Caenorhabditis elegans: one gene and its partner. The protein of the gene in region 1 interacts with the protein of each later gene in a pairwise test. Each region holds a gene or a part of one and is shown on either strand. Other genes may lie near its edges.

The links.
Region 2: the proteins of arf-1 (region 1) and kel-8 interact in a two-hybrid assay, tested with the Caenorhabditis elegans proteins (one study listed by BioGRID).

Annotation. Positions count from the first base shown.
Region 1 is NC_003281.10:5,714,415-5,718,175, reverse strand, and holds arf-1 (ADP-ribosylation factor 1-like 2), read right to left. Parts: upstream 2,062-3,761; 5' UTR 2,061-2,061; coding exon 1,913-2,060; intron 1,840-1,912; coding exon 1,729-1,839; intron 1,630-1,728; coding exon 1,421-1,629; intron 1,336-1,420; coding exon 1,258-1,335; 3' UTR 632-1,257; downstream 1-631. UniProt on the Caenorhabditis elegans protein: Small GTPase involved in protein trafficking between different compartments. Modulates vesicle budding and uncoating within the Golgi complex. In its GTP-bound form, triggers the recruitment of coatomer proteins to the Golgi membrane.
Region 2 is NC_003283.11:2,669,563-2,674,522, reverse strand, and holds the start of kel-8 (BTB domain-containing protein), read right to left. Parts: upstream 3,060-4,960; coding exon 3,000-3,059; intron 1,538-2,999; exon of another isoform or gene 1,523-1,537; coding exon of another isoform or gene 1,476-1,522; intron 1,428-1,475; coding exon of another isoform or gene 947-1,427; intron 894-946; coding exon of another isoform or gene 731-893; intron 672-730; coding exon of another isoform or gene 550-671; exon of another isoform or gene 356-549; intron 1-355. Other genes in the region: thum-1 (THUMP domain-containing protein), read right to left, coding at 550-671, 731-893, 947-1,427, 1,476-1,522; W02G9.4 (CUB domain-containing protein), read right to left, coding at 4,337-4,456, 4,543-4,696. UniProt on the Caenorhabditis elegans protein: Substrate-specific adapter of a BCR (BTB-CUL3-RBX1) E3 ubiquitin ligase complex that regulates degradation of glutamate receptors in neurons. The BCR(kel-8) ubiquitin ligase complex mediates ubiquitination and subsequent degradation of rpy-1.

The DNA of each region.
Region 1 (3,761 bases):
CAGAGATAGTATTAGGGTACAGTAAGTATATAATTGGATTACTGTAGTTCCATTAATTGTGCAATTTAGGTGATTTGGAGAGGTTATGAATTGGAATACGTCTGGGAATAGTATCAGGGTACATTAGAAGCACTGTAGGATTACTGTATTTTCAGTGTATTACGTGAACACTGAGAATGCGCATTGAGCAACATGTTCGACGCGCAAAATATCTCGTAGCGAAAACTACAGTAATTCTCTAAATGACTACTGTTGCGCTTGTGTCGATTTACGGGCTCGATTTTAGAACATAATTTATTTTCGAATTGTGACCGAAATATTTGAATTTCATCCTATTTTTCTTTTTTCTGTCATTCCGAGTCAAAAAGTGAAAAAGAACAAAGCAAAATCAGACCATGGCTACAGTAGTAATGTAAATAATTTCTGTATTTTTCGCTACGTGATATCTGTGCGCCAGACAAGTTGCACAATACGAAATTCCAGAATTTAGTTTTTCCGTATTAAAAATTTTTGCACATAGTATAACGCCTCATGTGTTAATAAATTACCCTTAAAAATTAACATTTCTTGTCCAAATTGAGGAAAAAGATCATTTTCATACTTTCATATTGTCATTATCAACAGGTGAATATAACATAATAATTTACTCCACGACAAAAAAAATGGTGAATATGATACTATAATACGGAAAAATTGAGGAAAAGCAAAACAGTGTTCGATACGAAATAGAAGAGAAGCGAAATTAAAGGTTCGAGGGGAAGGGAACGATGAAAACGAGATTTGTGTGTAGGTTTGTGTGCAATTACGCGCAAAAATCACAAAAATAGAATAATGGTTCAACAAGAGAAGAGAAACACGTTCATACTTCTTCTCGTTACACAACACTGTTTCAGGGAATATTTGAGGGAGATGGAGGGCGGAGCAGGTCAAAAATGGAGAGAAAAACAATGAATAACTTACATATTATTCCCGTCAGGAGCGGTTCCAAATGTAATCGGATAAGAAAAAATGTCGGATTTGGAAGTTAAGAAGAAATAGACGACAAATGAATTGGGGCTTTAAATAAAAATTGGGTTGAAAAAGTAGAAGAGGGCGATGGTGATCAAATTAAAAAGCCTAAGGGATGGGAGAGGGAATTTCAAATGGAACAGAGAAGAACAAAGAGAATGAATGGGGAGAAGAAAGGAGTTGAAACGAATAACAAAAACGGATGATTCGTAGTCGTTTATTCGTCGAAGGTGGATTCAGAAAAATGATTTAAGATCTATTCTTGAGCTGGTTGCTGAGCCAATCGAGTCCTTCATAGAGACCATCTCCTGATGTCGCACATGTGGCCTGGAATTAATTTATTATTGAAAAATAGTGAATTTCTTTAGTTTTAAAATATCAGATGAGAAACTGCTGATTAAAAATATCTCACCTGAATATACCACGATCGATTTCTGAGCGAGTGGAGCCCGAGCTTGTCAGTGACCTCAGCGGCGTTCATGGCTTGTGGAAGATCTTGTTTGTTGGCGAAGACCAGAAGAACGGCATCACGAAGCTCATCCTCGGCGAGCATACGCATCAGCTCTTCACGAGCCTCTCCAACACGTTCACGATCGTTGGAATCAACAACAAAGATAAGTCCTGCAAGAAAATATAATCAATAGAGCATTTTTTTTGGACAGTCTGTGAATTCTTGCGGGTGATAAGCTGATCCGCAAACTATTCTCGTAAATCACTAACCTTGTGTGTTCTGGAAATAATGCCTCCAGAGTGGACGGATCTTGTCCTGACCTCCGACATCCCACACGGTGAATGAAATGTTCTTGTATTCGACAGTCTCCACGTTGAATCCTGAAATATGAATAAAAATTATGACTCATTGTGAACCGTTCTTTCGCAACAAAAAAACGTCCCAATGACTCACCAATAGTTGGGATAGTCGTGACAATCTCGCCCAGCTTCAACTTGTACAAAATCGTAGTCTTTCCGGCAGCATCCAATCCAACCATCAGAATACGCATCTCCCGTTTGCCGAAGAGGCCTTTAAATAAGCTGCCGAACACGTTTCCCATTCTATAAATTGATTAATAAATTAAATTATTGAATTTCAGAAGAGGAACCGATGGAAGTGAAAAGGAACGCTAATAAAATGTGAAAGCTGAATCAATAATCTTCGTGGGAAATTGCGAAAAATTCGGGAAGATTTCAAATCCAATACGTGAAAATGCCAGCAACGACAATCGGAGAAAAAAGTACGGAAGACGATTGGAAGGAGGAAGAATCGGGTAAAACGTGGCAAGGAGATGGATATCTATAACAGGCGCAAGGAGCGAGAATCCAGCAGAAATACATCGGCTACACCGTCCAACGTGTCACTAGCACAGCAGTCTCTGGCGACCAGTGGAGTGTCTCTTCCTCTCTCAACCTCTCGACGCTGCTTTTTGTCTTGTTCGCTGGGCGCGTCGCGTGCGTTGCGCAGCGGTCGAATAAGAGGAGATAGATGGCAATAAGTGAAGAGACCGAGACGTGAAAGTACCGCAAGAGATGAGGAGAGAGCGAAAAAGAACAAGAGACCGTCCAAATTTGTCCGCTAGTGCAGGACGGAAGGATGAAGAACACATACACACAGGAACGAGAATAGTAATGTTCGAGTTCCTTCTACTGACTCCACGTCAGCCGTACGTTGAATCTTTCAATCCTTCAGTGAAATCTTGATTGATTGATTGAATGAACCCGAAAGTTCTAAAATTTGAACTTTGAAACAAACTTTTTCGAGTGATAAGACGATAAACTGCAACATTAAGAAAGTGATGAAAAATGCTTTTTGAGAGAAGAAAAACCTATTGAACGCGAGCGCATTGTTGAGAAATTTTGAAAATCGTGACGCAATTAAAAACTCTGAAAAAAGGACACGTGTCACAAGAGTGCAGCACGAGATACTGTGACTAATAAATAGAATCAGATGAGAAAATTAATATTAAATCAAATACAAAGCGCCAAACTTTCTAAATAGATGACCCGCATTTCCGACTAAAGCAATGTGGCGCTTCTGAAGAATGTGCTGGAGAAAAATGAAAGCTTAATAGAAACCGGCCGCCGCAGACAGTATAGATCAATGCCTTTGCGCCAATCTAGGATAGTTCATCTTTCCGCCTTTCAAAATGCCGAGAATTTCTTACTTTCTGCAGTAATTATTAGGAGTCACAAACCTTGATTTTCGAGCTTTTTGCGTTCAAATTCGGAAATAAATGAAATGACGATCAAATCAAAGATAAAATGTGACGATTGCAACGTCGAAGCAAGAAAAATTGGAGGAATAAAGTTAAGAAAGAACAAAGAAAAAAAAAATTAAAATCATTTATTTTCTGGCAATTCACGGCTAAATACGACGAAAACACACCGGTTTCCGCAAAAATACCTGTGTTTTATTGAAAATTAACTCGTTTTTTACTCGTCACTCGGGAGGGGCTCTTTTTGTACTCGTTCACTTTTCAGTGGCCCGTCTTTTATTCTTTCGCTGATTTTTTTTCGAGATCACAGCCATTATGTATTCTTTTACTTTATTTTTCTCATTTAGTGGAGTTATTGCTCTCTTTTGCTCTTTTTTGCTGGCTTTTTCATCAATGAGATATATCGATAGAAATAATGCAAACAACAAAAATGAACGAAAAAATAATGGGAACTTGTCAAGGAATCAGGTAAAAATCAATAATCATTGCGATTCTGAACAGATCACATGACAAGTTCTTAGCCAAGAACAATAAAAAATGAAG
Region 2 (4,960 bases), on another chromosome or scaffold:
TTCACACAAATGATTATTGTAAAAATATTTCGTTCGTGGCGAGACCTTTTTCACAAACAATTTACAATAGTCCAAAAAATTTCAGCATACTGGAAAACCAGGCCAGATTGAATGCTCCCGAGTTTCGGCGGGGGGTGCGTGTAACTACTCGGTTTGTTTGACAATTTGGAAGAGCTGCGAGAGAGCGAAATAGTGTTGATTTTGGGGAGTGCGCAGAACGGGTGAGCTAGATTTTCGGGTTGGTTGCACGTTTTTTTTCTTGCTCGGTTGTGCATGAGACGCGCGCGAGCAAGGGTCGACCTGAGTTTTTGACACGTCACAGTTATAGATACCATGCATTTAAAAAATAATTAACAATCGAATCTCAAATTTCATGTATTTTAACAAATAAATAGCCAAAGTATTTTAACAGAACAAATGAAAAAAACAAAAAAAATTCGGTGCCTCATGCTGGAATCGAACCAGCGACCTTCTGTTTACTAGACAGACGCTCTGCCACTGAGCCAATGAGGCGCTGGGTGAAAGGGGGAAAAAGGTCGAAGAAGAGACTTATGTCGCTGCCGCTGCCGGCGTCGCACGAAGACTATACTTTCGGCGGTCGTAAAATTGCCGGCACACGCCAACCATAATTGTCGTACGAGATACTTGAACGAAGAATGTGACGTCGGCGTCTGGAATCATTGATTTTTTGATTTTTTTGAAATTTTTTCAGATTTTTAGAGACACTAACGATTTAGGCTAACTCTCGCAGTCGGAGCCAGCGCACAAACGGCGTCATCGACCATTTGGAGCACGGAATTCTTCGCCACAGAATCGTTATTTCTCGCTTTAAATTCCACGGAATACGTGGGAAGTTTGCCAGTGCCGTCTGCCTTCAATGTGTCGGAGATTACCTGAAAAATTACTTTTTTTTATTTTATTAATTAATTTAATTAAATAAAAGCACCTTCATCAAAACTTCATTCATTTTTGAAAGATCCACAGCTAAAGTATGCTCCACCGGGTAAACTCGTTGCAAAAACCTGCAACGCGGAGCTTTTTGCGTCAGCTCGACCATTTTTTCGGCTAAAAGTTGAATATTCGCGTTTTTCACGCTCACAAAAATGCAATTCTTCACTCCCGTCGGTCTTTGAATGCATCTTCTCTCTTTTTTCACGAAATTTCCCGGCTTCGGCTGCCTCTGATCATCACAAGCCTTTTTCAACGCATCGGCAATGTCTTCATCGGAATCTTCAGCTTCTGCTGGATTTCCGGGTGCTTCTGAGCCTTGTGGAGCAGCTTCTGGTGCTTTAAGAGAGATTCCATTCGCCGGGTCTTCGAGAAGCTCGTCAATAATACTGTAGGCTTCTTGTAGGGCCTGCTTTTCGTGGCCTTCGCAGGAAAAGAATAGTCCGGTCACTCCGGCTTCCACAGATTTTTGTTTAACTCTGAAATTGTCTTAGAATAGTTTTTTTTTCTCAAATTTTAGCTCTCACTTTTGATTCCATCGGTTATGCTTTCGTTTTCTGTCGTTATCTGCCATTTTCAGTGATTTTTTCTGGAAAAATTGAAATTTTTGAATGAAAATTATTGTTTTTGAAGTTTTTTAACGAAAAATCAACGAAAAATGCGAAAAAAACACATAAAAACAATTAAAAACAAAAAAAAACAATTAATATTCCCTCCAACTTCTCTAAATCTCTTCTCTCTTGCACGTAACCACAGAGCGCGTTTGCACACCTTTAATTGCAGAGTCACCACCACTTTATGTGAAACAAACTACGAAAAAGAGGCGGTTCTTTACAGCGAAACTTGAAAAGAGCAGCCTCACTTGATAATTAGATGAAAAAATTTTGAATATACATTTACTATTTTGACGGAAACGCTGGAATTTGCGAAAATTTCGTGATGGCGTGCAAAATGACCCGCACCTTTTTCCGGTATTCTTCTTCTAGAAAATATATATTTCCTGAAAAAAAAGCTGAAATTCACAATTTTTCGAGCAATTTTTGATGTATAATAAGTATATATCCCGAACAATTTACCAGTTTTTTCCCGATTCACCAGTAAATTTGCTTCACATTTGAACTGAACTATAGGTTATCTCGAGATTTTTATCTATGTACCATGTGTTGCGACATTACGAAAAAAACGAGTTCCGACACAAAGGCCATGCAATTAGGTAGTAAATTGGGTGACTAACTGTGTGACGCGGCTATTATGGGTACGCAGAAAAATCCACGTGGAAACGCGCTCCACTGCCAATAGGAAATTCTCGGCCCCCGCACCATGACCCGCTAGGTGTTTGGCGGCAAAATAGTACATTCGAACGTTTTGGATTAGTTATGCCGATTTCGCCGGTTTCCAAGAATTTTTTGCCATTTTTTTCCTGTTTCAAATTTCCCGTGGTTTTAATGTTTTTAGGCCAAATTGGTGTTTTTAGGCCAAAATGACGAATTTCTGATTACCCTCATAAATTGAAATGGAAGAGTTTGCCAAACTAGGCCATTTTGGCTCGGCCATTACTGGGGTAGATTTACGGCGAGTTGAGTGTCGCGCCGCGGCTCGATTTTAGTTGTAAAACTAAATGCATTTGTCCGTGTGGAGTACACGATTTACCCACGCGTTTTCCTTCGGACGATTATCAATGGAGCGCAAAAAATTCAATGAGGAAGGGTAGAACCCCGTTATTTCGGCAATTTTCCTGTTTTAATGATTTTTAGGCCAAAATCACGGGGTTCTGTCTTTCCTCAGAGAATTTTTCGCGCTCCATTGACAATCGCCCGGCGGACAACGCGTGTTAAAATCGTGTACTCCACACGGACAAATAGACTTAGTTTTACAACTAAAATCGAGCCGCGACGCGACACGCAACGCGCCGTAAATCTACCCCACTTATGGCCGAGCCAAAATGGCCTAGTTTGGCAAACTCTTCCATTTCAATTTATGAGAGGGAAGCCAGAAATCCGTGGTAGCTTACAAAATGAAATTCCAGAAAAAGTAAAATAGTTACCACCTACCGTATTAGAGCTTGACGGCATAGTTGGCGCCTCCGCGGTAGATCTGTTGAAGGTCCACATGTTTTTTTTTCGTGGTGTGTGTCGCCTGTCAGTCTGGTATTCTAGATGCCAGCTTCTTCCTCTCTCGATTCACTTCCCGCCCCCTGATTTTTTTGTGTGTGTCTGCGCCCCCACAGTGTCTCTCTCAACCTGTCTTGTACGTCCTGCGTCTTTTGTTACAGCTTCTGGTATCTTCTGAATATACCACAGCAGGAGGGGGACAGTCAGTTGATTGGCAGACAAAAACATGGCAATTATTTAGTGACAAGCTTTATGATTGTAGGCTTTAGGGTCTGGAGACTTGGGGATAGGACCCTGAACGGGATGTTTTGTTGAGGATGGGCACTTTGACCTCCAGAAAGCGCGGGAAATTATTGAAATTTGTGACGTCATATGAGTTTATAATGAGGCGCCAGTAGGTCAAACGATTTCTGTAGGTCAAGCCCTGAATAATGTCCGTCACAGTCGGCTGGTGCGTTGGAGCACATTTGATTATATTCAGGCCATTTTGACTCGGCCACGGCTGGGGTCGATTTTTGCCGGAATTGAAAATTTTCGGCAAATCGGCAAAATGCCGGAATTTAAAATTTTCGGCAAATTGGCACATTACCGGAAATGAAAATGTCCGGCAAATCAAGAAATCGCCGGAATTGACAATTTAGGACAAACTGGCAAATTTGCCGGAATTTAAAATTTCCGGCAAATCGGCAAATTGCCATAATTGAAAATTTCCTGCACATCGGCAAACTGGCGGAATAGAAAATTTCCGGCAAATCGGGAACTCGCCGGAATTGACAATTTCCGGCAAATCGGGGAGTTGCCGGAATTGAAAATTTCCGGCAAATCGGCAAACTGGCAAATTGCCGGAGTTGAAAATTTCCGGCTAATCGTGAAATTTGCCGGAATTCAAAATTTCCGGCAAATCGGCAAAATGGCAAATTGCCGAATTTGAAACCTTCCTTTGCCGAACTGCAATTTCCGCTCACCGATTTTCAATGGAGCGCGAAAAACCGCTACTAGAAGCCCGTGATGATGATCTACTGTAGATCAATGTGAAATTTTTCCCGCGTCCGGGCATAGAACAAAAATTTTATTTTTTAAAAACCAGCTTCTCTTCCTCCTAAAATTTCCCTTTTTATCGCCCTACCCCTCCCCCTTCAACCCAGATTTCTCTTATCACCCCCCCCCCCCCCCCATCACTAATTTTCTAATTTTCCTTTCACTTTCATACAGTAAGCGGCAAAAAATAATTGCGAAGAAATAATAATTCATTACATATTGAGAATTTCGGGGGACTACTAGATAGAGATAACCGGTGCTGCAGCAGCTCCAATAAGCTTCTTCTCCTCGGCCTTCTTTTTGAGCCAGTCGAGAATGTTCTTGTCACGACGAATCGCCACTGAATCCGTTGTCAGGGACTGAAAGATTAGTTTTTAGTGAAGCCCTAGGTACCTAGGCACAAAAATGCCTGCCTGCTTCCAAGCCGGCCTAGATCTTTTCTCACCTGTGGTAGTACTCCGCGCTTGAAGTTGTTCGAGACAAATGAGGTATACAGACCGGAGAATCCCGAGAAATTGGTGACCAAGTCTGAGGAGAAGCACAGGTACAAAGTGTTGCTCGTCGATGTTATTGGAGCTGGCATATTCTTTCCGGAATAACTGAAAAAATGGTTATTTTATAGTATCCTTGGATTAAGATCAGTGGGGGATATGGTCGGGGTACTGTAGGAGTATTGTAGGATTACTGTAGTTTAGGAACACTTGAGTTTTTGTCTTTTGAAGGGATATTGGTTTAGGGTCAGTGGGGGATATGGTCGGGTACTGTAGAATTTCTGTAGTTTAGGCAAAATTGAGTTTTTGTCTTTTGAAGGGGTATTGGTTCAGGGTCAGTGGGGGATAAGGTCGGGGTACTGTAGAGGTACT